Linked DNA regions of Arabidopsis thaliana. The protein of the gene in region 3 interacts with the protein of the main gene of each other region in a pairwise test. Each region holds a gene or a part of one and is shown on either strand. Other genes may lie near its edges.

Evidence for each region.
Region 1: the proteins of NAC062 (region 3) and AT5G13780 interact in a two-hybrid assay, tested with the Arabidopsis thaliana proteins (one large-scale study listed by BioGRID).
Region 2: the proteins of NAC062 (region 3) and AT5G19570 interact in a two-hybrid assay, tested with the Arabidopsis thaliana proteins (one large-scale study listed by BioGRID).

Annotation. Positions count from the first base shown.
Region 1 is NC_003076.8:4,445,336-4,453,211, reverse strand, and holds AT5G13780 (Acyl-CoA N-acyltransferases (NAT) superfamily protein), read left to right. Parts: upstream 1-4,536; 5' UTR 4,537-4,608; coding exon 4,609-4,908; intron 4,909-5,323; coding exon 5,324-5,602; 3' UTR 5,603-5,921; downstream 5,922-7,876. Other genes in the region: PPH (pheophytinase), read left to right, coding at 41-267, 368-559, 659-815, 898-1,149; AGL15 (AGAMOUS-like 15), read left to right, coding at 2,410-2,591, 2,764-2,824, 2,893-2,963, 3,068-3,167, 3,239-3,280, 3,493-3,534, 3,609-3,760, 3,919-4,084; AT5G13770 (Pentatricopeptide repeat (PPR-like) superfamily protein), read right to left, coding at 5,922-7,751. UniProt on the Arabidopsis thaliana protein: Catalytic subunit of the NatA N-alpha-acetyltransferase complex. Required for male gametocyte development, embryogenesis, suspensor development and the formation of the quiescent center (QC) in the root meristem.
Region 2 is NC_003076.8:6,602,068-6,609,244, reverse strand, and holds AT5G19570 (uncharacterized protein), read right to left. Parts: upstream 2,682-7,177; 5' UTR 2,507-2,681; coding exon 2,093-2,506; 3' UTR 1,924-2,092; downstream 1-1,923. Other genes in the region: AT5G19580 (glyoxal oxidase-related protein), read left to right, coding at 1-186, 325-1,650; ROPGEF10 (ROP uanine nucleotide exchange factor 10), read right to left, coding at 3,115-3,519, 3,605-3,931, 4,016-4,288, 4,633-4,707, 4,810-4,964, 5,075-5,191, 5,825-6,011.
Region 3 is NC_003074.8:18,359,642-18,368,724, reverse strand, and holds NAC062 (NAC domain containing protein 62), read left to right. Parts: upstream 1-3,765; 5' UTR 3,766-4,007; coding exon 4,008-4,185; intron 4,186-4,455; coding exon 4,456-4,736; intron 4,737-4,830; coding exon 4,831-5,070; intron 5,071-5,162; coding exon 5,163-5,459; intron 5,460-5,554; coding exon 5,555-5,764; coding exon of another isoform or gene 5,765-5,788; exon of another isoform or gene 5,789-5,882; coding exon 5,883-6,086; 3' UTR 6,087-6,282; downstream 6,283-9,083. Other genes in the region: AT3G49550 (uncharacterized protein), read right to left, coding at 81-524; AT3G49540 (uncharacterized protein), read right to left, coding at 2,322-2,726, 2,830-2,925; AT3G49520 (F-box and associated interaction domains-containing protein), read right to left, coding at 7,975-9,083. UniProt on the Arabidopsis thaliana protein: Transcriptional activator activated by proteolytic cleavage through regulated intramembrane proteolysis (RIP). Transcriptional activator involved in response to cold stress.

The DNA.
Region 1 (7,876 bases), on a different chromosome or scaffold from region 3:
TGCTGAGTCGGTAAGAGTATGTGGTATTTGTGTTGTACAGGTTATCGGTGAGCCTGTGTACATTGCAGGGAACTCACTTGGAGGGTATGTAGCTCTCTACTTTGCAGCAACCCATCCTCACCTGGTTAAGGGTGTTACCTTGCTTAATGCAACACCTTTCTGGGGTTTCTTCCCTAATCCAGTAAGATCCCCAAAGCTAGCACGTCTCTTTCCATGGCCCGGAGCATTCCCTCTGCCGGAAAGAGTGAAAAAAATCACAGAATTGGTGTAAGGGAGACTTTATTAACACATCTCCTCACCTGAAAAGTATCATTTTCTATTTCTATCTCTATCAGTCTAATATCTTTACTTCCCAATGAAACTGCAGGTGGCAAAAGATAAGTGATCCTGAAAGCATAGCTGAGATACTTAAACAGGTCTACACAGACCATTCTATCAATGTGGATAAAGTATTCTCACGTATTGTGGAGGTCACACAGCATCCGGCTGCTGCAGCATCGTTTGCTTCAATCATGCTTGCTCCTGGTGGAGAGCTATCTTTCTCCGAAGCTTTATCTAGGTATAAGACAGTGTGGTTTCTTGTTTTTATATGTTTTTTACTCTGCGTGATTGGTGTTATTGCTTATGAGGAATGCTGCTATTTGATGGTTTATGCTAGGTGTAAGGAAAACAATGTTCAGATATGTCTCATGTATGGAAGAGAAGATCCATGGGTGAGACCGTTATGGGGAAAGAAGATAAAGAAGGAAATCCCCAACGCTCCATACTACGAGATCAGCCCAGCGGGTCACTGCCCACACGATGAAGTCCCTGAGGTATAATGAACTAGTCAATAAATTCTTCAAACTCTGCAATTAGGTATAATGAACCCACCATTTGGGATATGAAAACGAGCAGGTGGTGAACTATCTGATGCGCGGGTGGATCAAGCACCTGGAGTCTGGTGGTTTTGAAGCGCTCCCGCTTTTGGAGGACACTGAAGAAGATTGGGAGGAGTCCAGGATTGGTAGAGAAATTGAGTTCCCGAGAGATGGTTGGAAAAAAGCAGTGAATCTGTGGTTATATGGGTCAAACTATACGTACTGGAGAGGAGTTAGAGAATCTTTCAGATCCAGTTTTATAAGGGTGTTTGGAGGGAAGTCTGCATAGAAGAAGCATGGAACAGTCGTCTAGTGTAAATTAATTGTAATCTATGTTGCATCCGATGCTAGCTATATAATGTTGTCTGTAGAATCAAGTTTCTAAAATGTTCAAAAGGAAAAGTTAGAAAAATATCTACTTGATAGTTAGTCACCTAAATCGAAGGAACTCCTTTCTTGCATTGTTGTATATAATCCACAGGTTCAGATTAATATAGGAAGGCGACATTGCAGGCCATATGAGTTGTCTTAAAAATTGGAAGAGAGCTTGAAATTACTCTGATTCCAAAAGAAGAAAGTGAGTGTATTTGAATTGTTAATAATTTCCAAAGGTGAACAGTTTTATTGAACATGTATGGTGTTTGAAAAGACGTATCATTGGTTACTTTTCTCGAGGCAAAGTCGTATCCTTGACCATATTCTTCCCTTAGCTTGAATCTCATTTTTGTCAGTTCCACGGTCAACAAATAAGGGACTGAATTAGAAGGCTATCCAAACCACTTTTGAGAAACTTACTTACACAGGCTATATATCCAACATGAGATTTGGTCTGCTTCTTTTCTTAATTTGTTTCTTAGTCTCTGATAAAATCTCGTTATCTATTTATTGATTTGAGTGTCAAAAAAAAAAAACCGGTGTTACAAAGCTGCTACTAAAGTGTCGTTCTACACTAGTTGTAAGAAATTACTTCTCAGTATGTTTTTTTATCTCTCACTAGTTGATAACATAATGGTAACCATCAAACAATGCTAGTTGTTGCAATTTTATTCTTGGGGGTACTTTGAAATTGTTTCTAATTGTTGCTCTGAACTTTTTTTTATTTTTATGTCGGTCAACATTGTTGGTCTGATTTATGTCTTACAACAACATTAAAGAGAAAATACACTAGTACTAATAAATCTAATTTTAAAGGGAAGGAAAAAAGAGGAAAGAAAAAAACAACTTTAGGAAGAAAAGGGAAAGTAGGACCCAGAAGAACTGACAAAATCCTCCAAATGTGGCAAAAAGGTATCATGCAAAAAACCCTAAAATTGAAAAAAGAGAGCACGCAAAACAGTGGCCATGCAACACACAACATTCATTACCGAGTTTTTACCTTTCTTTCTTTTTTCTATAAAAACAAAAATATTCCATCCAAATTTAGCAATCTTTTGTGTTCCCATTAATAGATTCCCAAAAAGCACTTCTAAACCCATTTTGGAATACATTGAACCTTTCCTCTTCTTCTTCTTCCTTCTACCTTCTTCTCTCTGTTCAATTTTGGGGGAAAATGGGTCGTGGAAAAATCGAGATAAAGAGGATCGAGAATGCGAATAGCAGACAAGTCACTTTTTCCAAGAGGCGTTCTGGGTTACTTAAGAAAGCTCGTGAGCTCTCTGTTCTTTGTGATGCTGAAGTTGCTGTCATCGTCTTCTCTAAGTCTGGCAAGCTCTTCGAGTACTCCAGTACTGGGTAACACTTATTTCTTTTTGATTCAATTTTGTTTTTGCATGTCTTGTCTTGTTGTGATTAGAATCGATTTCGGGAACTGTAATTGATTTTTGTTTTTGCATGTTTGTTAAGATTAAAAGTTTTCTGATTGAGCTGAAGAGAGTCCTAATTTTGAATTCTCATTTGATTTTAGAATGAAGCAAACACTTTCCAGATACGGTAATCACCAGAGTTCTTCAGCTTCTAAAGCAGAGGTGAGAATCATTCATTCTTGTCTCATATATCTTGAAATTGTTTTTTTGAAAATCTGATTGCTGTTTAGAACCTCCAGGAGGATTGTGCAGAGGTGGATATTTTAAAGGATCAACTTTCAAAGCTTCAAGAGAAACATTTGTATGGAAACTAAATAAATCTCACTATGCTTGTTCATTACTTTATTCTTCTCTACTTTGTGTTTGTTTTTAGTGTTTGGCTTTGTGTGTTCTGTTCTGTTGTAGACAACTGCAGGGCAAGGGCTTGAATCCTCTGACCTTTAAAGAGCTGCAAAGCCTTGAGCAGCAACTATATCATGCATTGATTACTGTCAGAGAGCGAAAGGTAACTAGTAATATCACTCTTCCATCATCATTTCTCTTTGCATTGTCCTGATTATGGTTATCTGATTTCAGGAACGATTGCTGACTAACCAACTTGAAGAATCACGCCTCAAGGTAAACACTAGCTTTTCCTCTCTAGCTTCCAAATGTAAGCTTATGTGTAATCACATGATTCTGAACCTTGTTAAAACCAGTGGCTATCCTTTGACAAGCTCATGCTCTAACTAGCTAGTGTGCAGTTTATTTGTCTTAAGACTCCTATATAACTAGGTACAGAGTGCAAAAGTATAATTCGTTTCTTGATTAGCCATATATATACTTTGCAGGAACAACGAGCAGAGTTGGAAAACGAGACCTTGCGTAGACAGGTTCTTATTATTTTTGTTGAATCATCTCCTAATGAACGCTTCTTCCTCTGACTTGTAATTACTTGTTGAAACAGGTTCAAGAACTGAGGAGCTTTCTCCCGTCGTTCACCCACTATGTTCCATCCTACATCAAATGCTTTGCTATAGATCCAAAGAACGCTCTCATAAACCACGACAGTAAATGCAGCCTCCAGAACACCGATTCAGACACAACTTTGCAATTAGGGTATTGCTCTTTTAAGTCTATTTGCTGTCATTGGTTGCATTATTGGAAAGCTGATTTAAGATAAATATAAGTCTTTTTCCTCCTCTGTTAGTTATGCATATGCCTTAACACTCACTAACTGGAGTTATAAAATTCTTACTACTTGTGTTTTCTCCAAGGTTGCCGGGAGAGGCACATGATAGAAGGACGAATGAAGGAGAAAGAGAGAGCCCGTCAAGCGATTCAGTGACAACAAACACGAGCAGCGAAACTGCAGAAAGAGGGGATCAGTCTAGTTTAGCAAATTCTCCACCTGAAGCCAAAAGACAAAGGTTCTCTGTTTAGTCCTAGAAAAGTATGGGAGAAGGCTACTAATGTTTCCTCTTTAGCAAGTATCCGATTGTTTTAAAAGTAATTTTAGAGGGATACTTGCAAAAAGAAGAGAAGATTCAGTTATCTAATCTCTGCACCAACTCTCTTTGTCCTTCTTCTTTTGATTATTTCTCGACTGTCTCTCCTATAAAAAAGATATGCCTAGCTGAGAGTTTGAAATCCATAATCTTTACAAGGCACAGAGTTATTTGACATCTCGTATAGTAAGAAAATTTGCGGAGAAATAAGCTTATAGAAAGTGAAGGTTATCGGAATCTTCCTACTCCATTACAATCAAGGCCCAATTGGACCTCAAATCCTAAACTGAAAAAGTTTATAATGAATTTCATTAAATGCCCCTAAAATATAAGCAAAAGTTTCAATAAAGACCTCATATTTCTCTATAATTACAATTCGTCCCCAGATTAATAAAGCCCAAAGGCATTAGACCGAAAACCCTAACCCCTCTTTATCCGCGCGAGAGCAATTGAGCAGCCATGGTTTGCATCAGGCGAGCGACGGTGGATGATCTGCTGGCGATGCAAGCCTGCAATCTCATGTGTCTTCCTGAGAACTACCAGATGAAGTACTACCTCTACCATATCCTCTCATGGCCTCAGCTTCTCTACGTCGCCGAGGACTACAATGGTCGCATCGTTGGCTATGTCTTGGCTAAGATGGAGGAAGAGAGCAACGAGTGCCACGGCCACATCACTTCTCTCGCCGTTCTTCGTACCCATCGCAAGCTCGGTCTCGCCACTAAGCTCATGACCGCCGCTCAAGCTGCCATGGAACAGGTTACTCCTCTAATCTTCAAATTTCGTATATCTTTGCATTCAATTAAGCAGATTCATTGAATTGATATAGAGTTTCGTGTTGAATAATTGGATGATATAGAAGAATTTGTGTGGTTTGAGTTTATGTTGAAGATTGATATAATGGTGTAAGTTAAAGGATTTTATTGAAAGTTAGAAACTTTGTGTGTCAAAGTGATTGTTGCAATTGTCATTGGAATTTGAAGTAACTTAAGCTCTGTAGATTGTATAAAGAGATTAAGTTTTGTCTCCGGTCGTGTTATGCTTTTGACTGACGGAGACGAGTAGTTTCTGATTGCCTGTGAAACTAATAATAGCAGACCTCAAAGGTTGATAGTTGTTTTCACTCTCGAACTTGGACTTTTTAAATTCATTCTCGGTCGGGGTTTTGTGGCAGGTTTACGAGGCTGAGTATGTTTCGTTGCATGTGAGGAGAAGTAACCGAGCAGCATTCAATCTATACACTGAGACATTAGGCTACAAGATTAATGATGTAGAAGCAAAGTACTACGCCGATGGGGAGGATGCTTATGACATGCGGAAGAATCTCAAGGGGAAGCAGAACCATCACCACGCCCACGGTCATCATCATCACCATGGAGGAGGATGTTGTTCTGGTGATGCAAAAGTTGTAGAAACAGCTCAAGCCGTAGATGGTAAAGCAGTTTCCAAATGAGATTCGAAAGCAGATAATTATGAGTATATTGAGGTGGGTTCACTGGCTCGCTCTAGTACTTCTCACTATTTCCATTCATATGATTCCGAGTGACAAATACATTTGGTGACCACTCTGTGTTACTCCTTTGTCTTTCTTTGGTTGTATTGAAAATTTAGCCGTTCCTTTTTTTGATGTATCATTTTGGAAATTCCAAGCTTTCATTAAGGCTTTACAACTTAAGCTGGAAATCTTCTATTTGCAAGATAGCAGATCTCTATTGGCAATATAGTACATTTAATTACAAGAAAAATAATCTTGGCTTGTACAGTTTTCCCTTTCAACTTAAAGTTCCTGTGTTCTTTGTATTCGAATATTTTGAAGTACTAGTTTGTGCAGCGTCAAAGCTTTCCTGTAGCCATCTGATCTGGGAATTGAGACCAGCATCACGCAGAGCATTCAAAGCTGAGGAATAAAGCCTAGCATCAAGCCTGGTTCCTTCAACTTTCATGTCCTGCAACAGCCTCATTAGCTCATCAATCCTACTGGTTTTGGAGAATACACCGACCATGATTCCTGCCATGGCCCTATCAATCTTTCCTCTGTTCATCCTAAACTCCTGGTAAAGCTCCACACATCTCTCCAACTCTTTTGATCTGTTATATGCACTGATCATACTAGTGTAACTCACCTTGTCCGGCAACACCTTCGCCCTCTTCATCTCTTTCCATATCTTTTCAGCCCTCCTTAAGTCCATAGCCCTTCCATGCATATCAATCAAGGAATTGTAAATCCAAATGTTGGGTTTACACCCTCTTTGTTTCATCTTAGCCATGAGTCTCACTGCATCGCTTAGTCTCCGTGTTTTCCCATACATATCCATTATGTTTGAGTATGCAACAACACACTTATCAAACCCCTTCTTCACCATCTCATCAAACAACATCTCAGCCTTATTGTACTTCTCAAGCCGACAGTATGCATTGATGGCTATTGCATAAGTCACTTGCCCAGCCTCACATTCTTCCTTCATAGCCCATTCATAAACCTTAACTGCTTCAGCAAAGCCTCTTTGCTTACTGAATCCATTCACAATCGCACAGAGTATGCAATCAGTGACCTTTAACTCAGCCTTTCTCATCGCCGCCACAACCTCTAGAGTTGTCTCCATATTTCCTTCTCGGACATACATGAGTACAACCTTCAAACACATTTCAGGATCCTTTAACAGTTTCTTCCCTCCTGCTTCTTTGAATAGCTTCTCGGTTATTACAACCTCCCGCGCTTCCGCAAATGCACGGATCAGCATAGAGTACAATTCACTACTCTCCGGAATTCCTTTATCTTTCATCTCCTCCAAAACCTCTAGAGCTTCGAATGCACGTCCTGATTTTGCAAGGGACGAGCATACAATCGTGTAGATAGAGCCTGATTCCTTGGCCAAGAAACTCAACCTCTGACTCTTAAACTCTTGGAACAACTCAACCACCTTGTGATTTTCACCAATCTTCTCATGAGCCTCCATTATCCTGCAATAACAACCCGGGCTTGGCTCAACTCCCACAGATTGTTTCAACCTATCAAATACTTGAATGGTGCTACTATACATCTGGAGTTTGTTAAAGCCTTTCATCGCTGCATCAGATGCAGATACCGCCAATGATTTGTCTGATCTAAACACGCTAAGCAAGCAATGTGTGATTCGGAATTTCCTATCTCTGATGCAACTCCTGATCAGATTCGAACACGTTTGCCCATCAGGCAATGCTTTATGTTCCCTGAGATCCTCACAAACAGAAACAAGCAAGTCCCAACTCTTGGAACTCACCAAGTAACTTATCAGATGCTTGGTCGTTCTCAACTCAGAGTTCTCCTTAGCTTTCTCGTAGAATTCAGAAGAAAGTTTCCGAGTTTCCGGGTCTCGGAGAAACCTGGATAAGACCCGGTTAAGGTCATTCGGACCAGGTTCAAAAAATGGCCACTTGTCTTCTTTAGGACTCGGTGACTTCTTTTCATCTTCCTCAAGAACCATAGAGCATCGAGACGAGCAGACATGGAAATTGTGAGGCTTTTGAGAAAGAAAGAAAATGGGTTTGGTCGGAGAAGTGAAGCTGTGGGGATTAGCATGGTGGTTCACAGTGGCTACCCATGACCCGCTCGCGATGGCCATGTGTATCTGTGTGTGTGAAGGAGAGAGAGATCTCTCTGTCTTTCTCTCTCTGTTTTCTTCACTTGTGGATGCTAATTCAGCGCCACGATAAAATTCGACCACACGTTCAAACAACAATTTCGCTT
Region 2 (7,177 bases), on a different chromosome or scaffold from region 3:
CATGCGATCCTTATGCCAGTTATCAACAAGGTCCAGTACTATGACGCCACCATTTGGAGAATTTCAAAGATTAAGTTGCCTCCAGGCGTACCATGCCATGTCGTGGACGCTAAGACTAACAAGGTCGATTGTTGGGCTCATTCGATTCTCATGGATGTCAACACCGGCGCCCTTAAGCCTCTAGGGGTATGTTCAAACTCACGACACCATCTTTTTTTTTTTTTTTTGGGCCTAGGCCTAGACACGGGTTATCTTCTTCTCATTAAATAGAATCATATTATACGAACTTGAATTAAATATTTGCATTCACATGTTTCATGATAGCTTTCCACCGATACATGGTGCTCATCCGGAGGTCTGACCGTAAATGGTACATTGGTGAGCACTGGAGGATACGGAGGAGGAGCCAACACCGCGAGGTACCTATCCAGCTGTGAAAACTGCAAGTGGGAAGAATACCCTCAGGCATTGGCCGCGAAGAGATGGTACTCAACGCAAGCAACTCTCCCTGACGGAAAGTTCTTCGTGATTGGTGGAAGAGACGCCTTGAACTACGAATACATTCCTGAGGAGGGACAAAACAACAGGAAGCTCTTTGACTCATTGCTCCTCAGGCAAACAGACGACCCGGAAGAAAACAACCTTTACCCTTTCGTCTGGCTTAACACCGACGGTAACCTCTTCATTTTCGCTAACAACCGATCCATCCTTCTAAGCCCCAAAACAAACCAAGTCATCAAGGAGTTCCCTCAGCTCCCAGGTGGTGCCCGTAACTACCCGGGATCAGGTTCTTCCGCACTCCTCCCCATCCAACTTTACGTGAAAAACCCCAAGGTCATCCCAGCCGAGGTTCTCGTCTGTGGTGGTTCCAAACAAGACGCGTATTACAAGGCTGGTAAAAAAATATACGAACCAGCACTACAAGACTGCGCCAGGATAAGGATCAACAGCGCAAAGCCACGATGGAAGACGGAGATGATGCCAACCCCACGAATCATGAGTGATACTGTCATCCTCCCTAACGGAGACATCCTTCTAGTCAACGGAGCTAAACGTGGTTGTTCAGGCTGGGGATATGGTAAAGACCCTGCCTTTGCTCCCCTCTTGTACAAGCCCCATGCTGCACGTGGCAAGCGTTTCAGACAGCTCAAGCCCACCACCATCCCACGTATGTACCACTCCAGCGCCATCATTCTTCCAGACGGTAAGGTTCTTGTCGGTGGCAGCAACACCAACGACGGTTACAAGTACAACGTTGAGTTCCCAACGGAGCTTCGCGTTGAGAAATTCTCCCCACCTTACCTCGACCCGGCTCTAGCCAACATAAGGCCAAAGATCGTCACCACCGGCACCCCAAAACAGGTCAAATACGGACAATTCTTCAACGTGAAGGTCGACCTTAAAGAAAAGGGAGCAACCAAGGGAAATCTCAAGGTTACCATGTTAGCCCCTGCCTTCACAACACACAGTATCTCAATGAACATGAGGATGCTCATCTTGGGTGTCAATAATGTCAAACCTGCTGGTGCCGGTTACGATATCCAGGCCGTTGCACCACCAAATGGAAACATCGCTCCACCGGGTTACTATCTTATCTTTGCCATCTACAAAGGTGTTCCCAGCACTGGAGAATGGATTCAGGTCGTCTAATGACGATAATTTTTACCCATTTTGTCTTATGACCGTAACATCTTAATATAAAACAATCACATAATATCAGTTTTTTTTTCCTTCTATATATATTGTTTATGCCACCATTAATGGATCCAAATTACTTGTGTTTTCTTTCACTTCTATAAACTTTTCCGTTCATGTAAACCTTTTCGGTGAGTTTTTATGACTAAATTTTGTATTGGAGAAATTCTTTTATTATTACTTTTGGCTCTATTCTTTCTTCACTAGTTCGGTTTTGCGTATAAATCATTCGATGCGTTCATTGCAAGTCACTGTTTGTTTCATTGACTAGTAATGTTAATTACCTTCGATAATATTGCAGAGAGTTAGCTAAAATTCTCAAAAGATGGTACACAAATAGTTCTTTCGCAAAATAGATCTCACAGAAACAGAGTCACGGTTTTACAAAATTCGAATTTCACAGAACACAAAGCCAAATTCCAAATACAATAAAGCTCGTACCTAACAAAGCAAGTCCGATTTGAGTTTCTTCCCCTAAAAGGATCCCAAAAGCGGCGGTTGCGGCAAAGGTTGTGGCGTTAGTCACCGGAACGGCAAGAGAGATGGGAGCGTGACTGAGAAGGGCGAAGAATGTGGCGGAGGCGGAGAGGTTTATGAGGAAAGGAATTGAGTATTGCCAGAAGAGGAGGAGATTGATCCAGTCGCGGAGAGCAATCATGATTTTGCGGCGGATCTGAAGAGGAGGAGAATGAGATTCTGTTGTCGAAGAAGACTTTGTTTTATCCCAGGCAAGAGCGCCACGACGGATCAGAGCATTGGTGGCTCCCCATACGAGCCCTACCGCCACCATCTTATCCATGTCTTCCTTCATCGCCGGTGGCTGATCCCGATTTGCCTTTTCCGTTGTTCTGTGTTTTAACCACTAAATGTTGAGTAAAGGAGATCAAAAAGAAGAATTATTTGGATATCCAGAACCGACCCGAACCCGAAAGGTACCGAACTAAACCCGATCCGAAAAATTTAAAAATCCAAATAACGGACCCGAATACCTGAATAGTCCGGATGGTAAACACAGATCAATGGTATTATCACAAACCACTAAATTACATGTCGTCATCAAATAATGTTTCATTACAATACTACTACACTACTAGTCATTATCAATGAGCTTCAAAATCCATTAGGAAACAATGTTGTAGATTAGACGTTACAATACAAAACACCAAAGAACAAAAATACCAAAATATTGTTACACACTGAATCACACTTCCTTCTTAGAAAAAACAACAGGAAGCAATAGTCAAAACAAGCAACAATCATGATCAAACACCAAGTCTCATGTCCAAATCCTAAAACCAATGCCTGCATTGTTATATATGTACATTCTCACACACTTTAACCTTCTTCTATTCTCTCTCTCTCACTCTCTTTGTGTTTTTCTTCTTCTATGCCCTGTTCTATTACCTTCTCTTTTCACTATCAGTGTCTGTCACTAGGGCTTCTCATGTTCTCTAACTTTGCTAGATATGAAAATTTCTTCGGTAGAGCTCTTGGAGACTTCATCATGGGCTTCTCCTTCTCCTGCTCAACTTTGTGGAAGAATTCTATATCACTCATTGAACTATGCTTCTTAGTATCAGATGACAATCTCCACCCTATGAAGTCTGATAGTTTCCTCGAGTTTGGTGTTTCCGCTGCAACCACCTTTTCAGTTTCCTCGTATTCTGATTCTGCCTCGCTTTCTGATCTTGTCTCTGCCTCTCCCATCAACTGTCTTTGAACTAGCCGATCGGCTTCAAGAACATCCTCTATTCTTGACATTATCTTTGAAGCAAGACTCTCTAGTACCCTTGAATAGCTCTCCAAAATCGCCTGTCCAACATCCTGTAAGATCAAATCACAACAAACTCTTACTCAGTCTCACTACATTTTTGTTGATGTTTGTTTAGTCTTTGTTATGTTATGTTACCTTGTTGTTTTTAATCTTGGAGACTTCAAGGGAGGATTGTGGGATCCCAGGAAATTGTTGTTTGAGCATAACCAAAATGGTCTCAGCTCGGACTTCGAAAAGCTCCCTCTTCTCTAAGCTAACAGTGGATCCCCACTGAGATTTCCCGTCTTTCTCTTTCTGGCACATCTTCCTCTTCCAGATCACCATGGAAGCTTCAATCCTGTTCTTTAGATCAAGTACTTTGTGTTCCGTTGACAAATCCAAGAAAGAGACAAAGTAGTCAGGATCAAAGCTCTCCTCTGTTATGCTCTTGTAAAGAAAATCTCCCAAGCTTGTCTTCCCATTCTACATAACCAACAGCCTCATCAGCTTCCTAGCTTAGTGGAAATTGTAAAGAAACAGAACACTTTTGAAGAAGAAGTAAGTAACCTTTGGAAGGGAATCAATGTAGTTTTCAGGAACGTGCATTTCAGACAATACATGAGCATTGATGGCCGTGGCGGCTTTAAGGACTTGAGCCACAGAATCTTTCTGATTCTGCAACCATCTACGTGATTCCTCAGACAAGCCATCTGTTGGAACCTTAACAACTGGTAACCACCAGTTCTCATCCCTCCTCCAATCTCCATTGTGATCTGCATCCTCCATATCTCTTGGCACATACCAAAAGTCTTTCTGATCCTTGAAGTTGTCCAAAGTTTCCTGCCAAATGAGTAATTGCATTAGTATGATAAATGGTCACAACTCATCTATTTTTGTTTGTTATATATATATATCATGATCATTTTATAATACATGCACTCCTATATGAAATTAATTAATGAGATGGTACTCTTGGTGTTATGACGTTTTCAGTTATATTTATCTTTATAATTTGCAAAGATGACTATGACTTGTAGTATATATAGTAGTTTGTCCTAGTGTCATGGATATTGTTGCAAACAAAATATTTTTGAAACGATGTGGTGTTTGATATAATATAATGGTTTAATTTTTCCCAAACGTTGAAACCGCGGTTGAAACAATCAAGTAGTAATTAAACTCACGAGAAGAACCGAGTCAAGTTTGCGTAAAGCTGGAATGTTCGTCAGCAAATCATCTCTTTGTTTTGTAACCATGATCTACAAAGGAGAAAATTAGGGTTAATAAGAAAAATCGTCACTAGTAGACTAGTAGTTGTTATATATGTACGTAATTAATGACTAACAGTTGCATGCATTCACCTCAGTGAATTGGCCATTTTTACCCATTTGTCTAGAAGGAACAAACTGGACAATGTGATCAATCACAGATAATAACCAACCCATTTCTTTCCTCCAATTCTCTTTTGTCTCCGGATACATAGGCTGCAATTTCATCTGCTCTCCAAACATCGAATCTGCATGCCAATACCAAAGCCACATTAATTAGTTTGTGACTTATTTTAACCATTCAAATCGTTATTAGACATTTAATGTTTTAATCATATTAGTAGTGTTAAAGGTTTACCAGCGAGTTTGGTGATGGCGTTTGACAAAGCTAACGCAGAGGTCTCCCCTGTCCCACCGCCTGACATGTCCTCTCCAAGAAGCAGTTTTGCGAATCTTTCCTTCATCACTTCCATGTCTGAAACAGATATCAATACAAAGATTATGTAAGGAATCCAACATAGAATAATATTAATTAAATAGTTATCAAAAATATATAAATATTAGTTAAAGAACTCATCTTTATACAACGATATTGGTAATTCTACTCTTACCAATTGATTTTCAGATCCAACCCATGCATCTTACACAAATGCAATCTAAATGCAATTCATTATGCTATATACAATACATCTAATGAAGATATTAATACATCTAATTCATTGTGGTTTTGGGATAACATTTTATTCGTTTATGTGGTTATCAAATTTAGCAATAATTAATTATTGCGGATCACATAATTTTTTTCCGTGCAATAATATCATTTTCCTGTCTATATATAATTTATAAAATGAGGACTTCTTATTTCGGTCAATATATATAAGCGGGTAATAAATGATTTAGAGATTCTACATTATCATTAATTGGAGCATTAATTAATTATTGGTGCAATGGATATATTTACGAAAATATGAAATGGATATTTTTTAGAAATTCTTTCACCTAAAGTTTTCTTTCTACCATTATATTATCTCGAAATAAAATTTTCATTTCCATTAAATTAAAATTTTGCCATTACCATTTACCAAATAAACTTGCACTAATATGTTACCTGATCTCCTATTTTGCTTGCCTCTACGAGTGGATGGTGCAGCATGTCCGGCGAGTTCGTGCTCGGGTGTATGCATGCCATCCCCACGAGAAGAGAAAGATGAATGTCCAGAGTTCCGACCATCGAACATCTTTCTAAAACTAAAAGATCTTGGCCAGCTTAGTTTACGTCCTAATGTCCGCACCATTCCCAATTTACTCCTCTCAATTTATATCTCTCCACACACTTTTTTATATTTCTCTCTTCTTTTTTCTTGTCTCAGATCGTATTATATAAAAGAAAACAAAGCAAATGAAATCCACAAAATGGAAGAGAAGAAAGCAAAAGAGACGTACAGATCAAGCAACTAGTCCTTTAGCTCTCCCTTGTCTCTGTTCTTTCACCACCGAATGAAACAAAACTACTTTATGTTCTGTACTTTTTTCTTTCCAGTTGTTTTATGTTTTTGTTTTTTAGTTGGTGCAAAATGAATGAAACAGAGAAATGTTGAAGTAGTTTTCTAGGGCTGGAGAGACAACGTGCGGTCCATGTTTTCAAAAAACAAACAAAAGATAAATAGTGGAAGGGCGGTTAAAGATACTCCGACTTTTCCTTAATTTATTTTATCTTTCATTTGTTTAGAATTTTACCTCACGCTGCTCAGGTTTTGATTCACTGGAACAATTTCGTGTAAGAAAATTGTTCGTTATTTGAACTAATCCACATTTCGTTAAATGAGCTTGTAAGAACATTTTCTAAATAAAATATGTCTACAAAAATGTGACTGGCTCAACCGATTAGAAAAATGATGTTTTAGAGTTACCCGCCGGACCGAGTTAGAATCCTATGTGCTATAAACTTGGAGAGGGATAATTTATGTTTTGTGGATCGTTATTGTTTAAGCCTGATCTCGAATTAAGTAAGACTATGGATCAAATATAGCTGGAATTTACAAACTTAATAACTTAAAAAGAGAGACAATCGAATTTTAAAATCAGATTTTGACTAATTCGTTAGTGCAACAGTAGCATGGAGGCATGTAACACGGCGACTCTTTACCAAGTCTAAACATTTCTGTTTATCCTACTAATTTAAAAGATTTGATTTCAATATCTTATAATACTGCTTTAATCGTTTAATCACGTCGTGTAATTTATCACTTTGAAAAGTGGTGTTTATGACCATTTTCTCATCCACTCACTGATGTATAAATATTGCATTGACATTTTTTTTTATCAAGCGGCTTAAACAAATGAGTCTACCTATAAATGGACACATTGAAACAAGTTTTCATTAAAGAAACAAAAGAAAACTAATTAAATACAAAAAACCATATAACCTCATTCCGTTTTACATTTTCTTATCTTTCATGTT
Region 3 (9,083 bases):
ACATGAGTAAATATCTCTTATTGCATACTTGTCCAAAACGAAAAAGAAAAGCAAGTTATTCTAGGTGAGATAGAAAAGAACTAGTTAATCTCCATTCCATCTCCACCAGCTTGGCTGCAAAAAGGACTCACAGCAGCAAAAGACCTCTCAAAAGGAGAAGAATGAAACTGAGCATCACGTCGACGACGCTTAACACAACTTTCAGAAGGTTGTTGTTGACTCTCATCATCAAGCTTCCTCCTCACTCCTTTAACCGCCTGTTCCTCAACCAAAGAAAGCGGGAAAATCCGACCACTAGCTCGACACAAAGAGTTATGATTATCATACAAAATCCTTTGGTTGCAGTTCTTGTCACAAACATGAGTCAACCCAGTTAGTTTGCAACGGTACATATTCCCACACACATTCTCATTCTCGCATTTCCAATCACATTTGTGATTGGGTCCTTCGTGACCCAATATAGCAGATAAGTAAATAACATTAGCAGAGCCAACAACCACATGAGATTTTCCAAATACCTCCATTGTTTCAAAGTTACTCAAAGCTTCAAACTTTCTTCACTCACTGCATAACCCAAGAAAACCCGAATTAAAAAAACGAAATTGATCCACTATTAGAGATAATTTTTCCTAATCAGGCATAAATTTCAATCAAACAGATTTAATCGCAGCTGATAAATCGCATTATGAGATCCAACAAGAAGAAGTAATAAAATTCACAGAGATTAAATAAAACAGACCTGATCAGAAGCAGCAAATTCTCAACACTAATTTTGACTCGGCACTGAATAATATTTGTTGGAGAAAGAAAGTTTGTGAAGAAGAAGAAGATGAATTGGTCATTTTTAACTATTTATAGAAATCAATCTAACTCCGTTACTTGAAAAATAAACGGTATATTTATTTATTTTTATTGTCAATTTTAAAAATGATTACAGATTTCTTGAGCTAATTTATTGATTTTCTACAATTTCTTTTGTCTTTTCTTGGCGGTTAATGGGGAAATTCACGTGTCTATTAATTTATGGTTAGAGATACTACTAAAATATCTACTCGTATATTTGCATATTAAATGGCCTATTTAATAGGCGTGGGCAGGAAATGGTATTTGATAATGTAATTAATTAGTTATTTGGATATTTATTTATAGAGTAAGACGGCAGAAAAAAGTCCGTGAAGTAACGGTAAGAGGAACTGAATCAAACCATTCTCACATTTCTCAAGACTCTAACCATTGAAATTGAATTTTTTTCTCTTTTGGCCAAACAAGAACTAAGAAGAAGAAAAAACGACTATAAATAGATGGCACAAGTCATTCATCACAAAAGAGTAGCTAGACCTAGAGAAAGCTAGCTAAACAAGGATAAAACAAAATACGTAAACACCTTGTTTTGTATTATACCAATAGAAAGAGTTAAATCAGAATTTGGAGGAAGGTGTACGGAATCCATCCACCGTGAGACCACAAATTGAGGTAACATGATGATAGAAGTTTTGTTGTAGCGACGAGAACAATGTTCCGTATACTTCATATACTGCTTAAAACCAGAAGTGTTTATGCGACAACAACCTTCATCACTAGTCCAATCCTCCGAATCCTGATGAATGATGAACTGTCAACTCTTGTGTCCGCAAGTTACCAGATACAAAACAAGAGTGTTTTTGACTCCATAGATAGATAATATCAGAATCAAAGGGATTCATTGCCACTTGAAAACATTCGAATATACTCCAACAGATGCAATGTTGATTTCCGGTGTCAACAACTGCCAACATTCATCCTCTAAGTGTTAATATTCAGTCTCCAAATCCTCAATATTCGATGTAGTATTTCAATGCAGATCCCATCTCCTCGTGAAGTAGTCAAACATCTCTTAACATTCTAACATTAAATTGAAATCATTTAGTAATATTTGATATTTTTTCTTCTTTTCTTTGACACTGCCAATTACGATTTATGAGCAGGACTTAAGATTGCATATACAATCAAATGAAAGATGGAGTCACATCACAAGAATAAAAAGATCAATGATCAAATGAAAGATTTTAGTTTTCAGGGGATTTTGCATCTTTCAATGTTTTCGATTGTATCTTCCGGAGAAAAAAGAATCAGAGATCGTAATTCACACACGAACACGTTCGACTTAAGAAATGTTGATTACAAATTTTCACGATGCAAAACTGATTTATATTTAATTGAATCAAAGAAGAATCATTTTGAGATACAAAGAACAACAAAAGCCAAACCAATCTGGTAGTAGCAAATCAAACCAAGGTGACATACAACAACATTCAAAATACTTTCACAAATTTAATTAATCATCAAACGGTGACAACAGCTTCTTTCTCTTCTTGTTTACTCTCCTCCTTTACTGGTTCAGCCTCAGCTTTTACTGGTTCAGCCTCAGCCTTTACTGGTTCAGCTTCAGCCTTTTTCTCCGCTTCCACTGCAACCTCAACCTTTTCGGGTGCAGCTACGGCAACCGCCTCCACCTTTGCTTCAGCGTTTTCTGTTGCAGCGTTCTCCACTTTCTCAGGTGCAACTACTGCAGCCTCACCAGCATCAGCAGAAGAAGACTCTTCGACGGCTGCAACCTCTGGTTGAACAGCAGGAGTTGTTTCCTTGGTCGGCTCGACCGGAAATGTCTCCTTAGCTTCGACAGAAGTTGTTTCAGTGGTCTCAGCCACTGTCTGGTTCTGTTTCTCACCGCTTTCTGTGTTGTTCTCCTGTATTAATTAATCATACCAAAAGATCATAACCGGTTAAGCCCGGTTCGGTAACAAAACCTAATTAAATTTTCATATTTAAAACCTAGAGATTAATTGTTACCTTGGCTACTACGTTTTCAGAGACAGGCTTGTTAGGAACAGAGCCTTCTTCGTTTTGCATGTCTGATTCCTTGGGTCTACTCGCACAGCCACCCATTATTATATATTTTTTTGGTTTTTGTGATTTTGGGTTGGGTTTAGGCTGTGGAGTGTGCAAAAAAAATTTACACAAACTTTTTTATTTTTCTCTTCTTTTTTATTAATGTTGACCCGAGGATTGAGCAAATGAAGAGAACATAATCATGGTTATATAGATGAAGATGATTCCGATTTTTATGGAGAGCCTTTGGTATTTTTTCTTGTGTGTGTTGAAGTATTCAAATTGGGGATGGCTAAGAATAGAGTTTAGCAGAGAGGTAAGAGTAAATTTAGATAGATGTTTCTCTGTATTTGAAAAGCTTCATTGATATCGTCAAACTTTTGGAAGTTTTGTGGACCTCTCTCGTCTCTTGTTGCTAGCTCTATTTTTAGCCGGTCCTAGCTCCAGAATTTTAATTCGATTTTTTGAATTTTGTAACTTGCAAAGATAAGAGGATTACGCCGTGTAAACGATGATGAATATCCTAATGATTATGCAGCTTTTTACTAATACATAATTTCATGAAAGAAGTTTTGATTAGGTTTCCAAAAGTCAAAGAAAGCGAAAAAATCTAAATAAATTAAAAAAGACAAGTTTCCAAAAGTCAAGAAAAGCGTAACACCATCCCAAAAACAAAGTGACATGCACCGAAACTTCCATTCCTTTCCACGTGTCATTACATCATTCGTTCTATGACATTTCTCATCACCTTCTTTTACAACAGTCATTCACTTCTCGCTTTTACCCCTGCATCTAGTTAATATCCCAAAGTCGCTCAAGGGCAAAACCATACTTTAACAATTTCCAAACCGCGTAACGTACTTGGTTTGCCGCGTGTACACACCACGCGCTGCCATCACCATATAGAACTCACAAAAGGAAAGAAAAAACCAAATCAAAGCTCACATCTGCCTTCTTCTTCACTTTACCAAAATCATCGAATCCATTTTTAGGGTTTTTGTTTTCTCTCTAAATTTTTATTGTTATCTTCTTCGCGATACCTTGGAATCGCATCTCTGAGATAGATAAATAATTCTGATTCGTATCTTTAAATCTTGGGTTCTTCTTCTTCTCGCGATTCGTTTAAAAGAGCAGCATCAATGAATCAGAATCTTCATGTATTATCAATGGATTCGTTACCAGTTGGATTAAGATTCCGTCCAACAGACGAGGAGCTAATCCGTTACTATCTCCGTAGGAAAATCAACGGTCACGATGACGACGTCAAAGCTATCCGTGAGATCGATATTTGCAAATGGGAACCTTGGGATTTACCTGGTACTTACTTACTTACTTCTTCATCTCTTTATTCATAAATTTACACTTTTTCTATAGATCCTCTTTGATTTCTCTGGCATTATGTTGAATTGAGAAATGGTAGAACTTAAAATTTGTAGCTTTAGTTTCTATGGTGAAGAAAGTTAATAACTTTAAACCGATCATATGTGTTTGATATAGTTTAGTTTTGGGTATGTGGTTATATCTCTGTTAAGGTGTAGTGTAAGTGACTGAAATTTGATTAAAAGATGTGATTTTTTTTTGTTGTAGATTTTTCTGTGATCAAAACTAAAGACTCAGAGTGGCTCTACTTCTGTCCATTGGATCGGAAGTATCCGAGTGGAAGTAGACAGAACCGGGCAACAGTTGCAGGGTACTGGAAAGCCACAGGAAAAGACCGGAAGATAAAATCCGGTAAGACTAACATTATTGGTGTGAAGAGAACTCTAGTTTTCCACGCGGGTAGAGCTCCTAGGGGGACACGAACCAATTGGATTATTCATGAGTATCGTGCCACGGAGGATGATCTTAGTGGTACCAATCCTGGCCAGGTAAATAATGCATACTTTTAGATGTGTAACCATTGGAAAACTAAATTTGGCTCTGTAGCTTATTGTGTGCTTGTGTTGATATATATATATGCAGAGTCCGTTTGTTATATGCAAATTGTTCAAGAAAGAAGAACTGGTTTTAGGGGAAGAAGATTCGAAGTCAGATGAAGTTGAAGAACCTGCTGTCTCGTCTCCAACTGTCGAAGTGACTAAGTCAGAAGTATCTGAGGTAATTAAAACAGAAGACGTGAAGCGTCATGACATAGCAGAATCTTCTCTTGTAATCTCTGGAGATTCTCATAGTGATGCTTGTGATGAGGCTACAACCGCAGAGGTGAGGACATTGAAAAATTCTCTTAGACAGTTTTTAGATGATTGTCTCTAGTGTCTGTTTGAATACTAATGATGTTTATTTTCGGCATGCAGCTTGTAGATTTTAAATGGTATCCGGAATTGGAGTCCTTAGATTTCACGCTGTTCTCTCCATTACACTCTCAAGTCCAATCTGAGCTTGGATCCTCTTACAACACATTCCAGCCTGGCTCGAGTAATTTTTCAGGGAACAACAACAACAGCTTCCAAATCCAGACTCAGTATGGTACAAATGAAGTAGATACGTATATATCTGATTTTCTTGATTCGATTCTCAAGAGCCCAGACGAGGATCCAGAGAAGCACAAGTATGTTTTGCAAAGTGGTTTTGATGTTGTAGCACCAGATCAGGTACATGAAGATTCCTCAAAACTCATTATATCATTTGTATGTACTTCTAGAAAACAGAAATCGTATTAACTCTTAACTACTTTACTTGATTGCAGATTGCGCAAGTGTGTCAACAGGGCTCAGCAGTTGACATGAGCAATGATGTTTCAGTGACGGGTATCCAGATTAAGAGTCGCCAGGCACAACCCTCAGGTTATACCAATGACTATATAGCGCAGGGAAATGGTCCAAGAAGGCTGCGTCTGCAAAGTAACTTTAATGGCATTAACACGAAGAATCCTGAGCTTCAAGCTATAAAGAGAGAGGTGAGAATAACACCCACCTTCTGATGAATTACTCATCCTTGGTTTCTTTTAGCGTGTATGTGGTTTCACGTCGCAGAGTGGAATCGATCCATGACATTAAAATGTTAATGCTATGCAGGCTGAGGACACGGTTGGAGAAAGTATAAAGAAAAGGTGTGGAAAGCTAATGAGATCAAAGAACGTGACCGGTTTTGTGTTTAAAAAGATTACGTCGGTGAAATGTTCATATGGAGGACTCTTTAGGGCGGCAGTAGTTGCAGTTGTGTTCTTGATGTCAGTCTGCAGTCTAACCGTCGACTTCAGAGCATCTGCAGTGTCCTGAAAACTGAAACTTTTTGTAAATATAGTGCTTGAACCGGCCCGTGTTTTTGCTTCTGTTATTGGTTTCAGGCTTTCGCCAGTTTATAAGATATATTTGTTTGTAGTTTTTACATGTAGTTAGGCTGCTTATGTAAACGTTATGATGACAGAGAGGTCAAGACTCTATTTACTTCTTTGACTTATTAGAGTTCTTCTCACATGAGTTCATTCTGGACAAAACTCGGAAGAGAGAAGTCAAGCGATCGAACCGGAGAGATCACAATAAAACTCATCAAAGGGCAAAAGTAAGTTCAACAAAATCATTTATCACAAAACCAAAATAATGCAAGCAAACTATATGACCAAAGCGGCTATCAACAAGAGAAAGGAGAGCGAGGCAACCATACCATAATCCTGGATTACCCGTAGAAGTGAACATAAACTAACATACACACTTTCTAAAATTGCCTAAACCTAAGATTTGTACCACCCAACACCACAAACAAGATAGCAAATGCAGCAATCTCATGGACGGAGGAATACAAAGGTCAGACGTTACCGGAGAGGAGGCTAAAACGGAAATAAATAGTATTAGTACCTAAGCATTTATTTAATAATACAACTTATGAATTTGGGTTTACAACGCTAGACGCAAGAAAAAAAGTGGAGCTTGTGGTGGAGTCGCAGAGGAGTATACATTCACTGTGTGGTATTCGTGTCAATAATTCACAAAATTGGAAGGGCTATAAATGTTTTTTGGCAATTTTTTAAATTACCATTAGAATGAGTTTTAGTTCCAAAAATATCATCATTAGTTTCTTTTACTCAAAAATACCACTGAAATGTCTTTTTAGTGTTTGTCTTTTGATTTTGTTTTGTCTTTAGTGTTTGTCTTTTGATTCTGAACGTTTTATAAAAGTGTATACAGTATATATTAACAGTGACTTGTGAAAGATTCAGAATTCTCTCTTGCTTCCTTTTGTCTAGGATGAGGCAAAGACTAAAACCAACCCTAGAGGAAAAGTTTTGTCTAGGATCCTCCTCGTGGCGATTTGTTCTATGCATCACACTTGCAACTAATTAGCTTGTGAACAATGAGCTAAAAAATGAGAGGAGAAAAAAGAGAGACGGAGATGCAGAGGAAAAGTTTGTCAAAGGAAACTGGATCGATGAGTCATGGCTCGTGCTCCTTCAAACCAGAACAGCCAAGTGTAGAGAGGAGTCAAATTGATGAAGATCACCAAGTTGTATCAGAAAATTCTGACCGTTTGTCATGTGTTGGAGCTAGTTGTGTATCACCCTTTGGTTTGAGAGGACAGGGAAATGAAACCCTAGTCAAAAGCGGTTCCGTTTAGACCGAAAGAAAAAGGAGTCAGAAATGACTTTGAAGCAGAAGATGGAGGCAGCAATAGCTGAGAAGAAGAGACAGAGGGAAGAAGAAGAGGGAAAGTTGAAGGATGACAAAAGACAGCGTGTTGCCAAAAGTCCGAGACAACAAAGAAAGGATGATAAAAAAAGCTTGTAGCTTTTATAGATCGAATACTACAATCACCGAAAAACACTGTTCTTGGACAGGTGAAATGAGATCAAAAAGTGATGATCGGAGAGCTTCTAGAGAAGCTTCTAAGGTATGCAATTTTCATATCTCAGTGACTTGTTATACAAGGTATTCAATTTTCATAATCATATACTCTGTTTGTTTGCTCTGGTCAAGATGCAGATATTATCCATGTTTAGAACATCAAATACCCGAAATCTAAAAAGATCTTCAATTTCTAAAAAGGTTTCAGATTGAAATATTCAAACAAAAAACTAGAAAAAGTGATCTTTACTTCACTAATGTCAACAATTGCTTCAAACTAAAAGCAGTCTCGTTCAAACCAAGAAACAAATACAGTATTGAAAATGGACTAAACTTGCAGTTGCAATAAACTTGGAACATAAGAAGAGCGCACAAGTTCGCCTCCTATCCAATGGGAATTCGAGATTACTCCAATGTTGACAGATTTGAAGTATCCATCATCTCCAACGATGTAAGCCATTTGGTAGCGACAGGTCTCTGTCACTTTAGTATCAAAAAGTACAGCGACTTTCTTCTCCTCGTCGATAAAAAAGCTTTTAGGTTCAAATCTAATCAAAAAATCATCCGTTAAACCATTGATTAGTGACATATCCACTTTCAAAAAAGTGCTCCACGAAACCGCATTGGGCTCAATCTTAGTCGAAATCCAAATCTCTATGATGTCAAATGTGTCGTAGTGGCTATATAACACAGCGAGCTTATCATCTCTAGCCCAAGATAGAGCCAAATATTCAAAACTAGGAGAGGGAAGGATAAACGGAAGAGGCAAACGCGGTCCAAATCTCTCGGTTGTGAAATCAAAACAGCGTAAATAATCTTCAATGCCTGTTATCAACAAGTCTTCTGTCCCCACTTCTGCCTCTGTCGTTACCTCTCGATCGAAAAAGTAAGCATTTCCCTTCAAAGACACGCCACTTTGATAAATGAGTTCATCCCTATAGGGATTATCATCAGGAACCGTCCTCCATGAATCAGAGCTAAAATCGTAGACATCAATATGACTTTCGTTTTCCTCGTTCAACCTCAAGATTTTGTGGTTACGGTTGTTGTATCCCAGAGCAAAGCTGTCATCTCTGTGGAATGTGTTTTTGGGTCGAATCCGTTTGGTTTGCCCCAAATACGGATTCCATAACATAAGACTCGAGTTATCTTTGGGGATGCATAACAATAAGCCATCGCAGTGATAGACTCGAGATATCTCGACTTGATCATCATTATTAGGTATGCTTATTTGTTTCATAGATGGATCAACCAAGTCTTCTTCGTCTTCGTTACGGATTTTTTGGAGATCGAATCTCAAGGAACAAACCCTAGAATCTAGAATCATTAACTCTAGAAACTGATTCCTTGCTACTGATTTTTTACCAAAGATCTGATTTTTCGATAAAGCGTTCCACGTTTTACAAGTAGATCGCACTGCTCTAAGAGATGTAAATG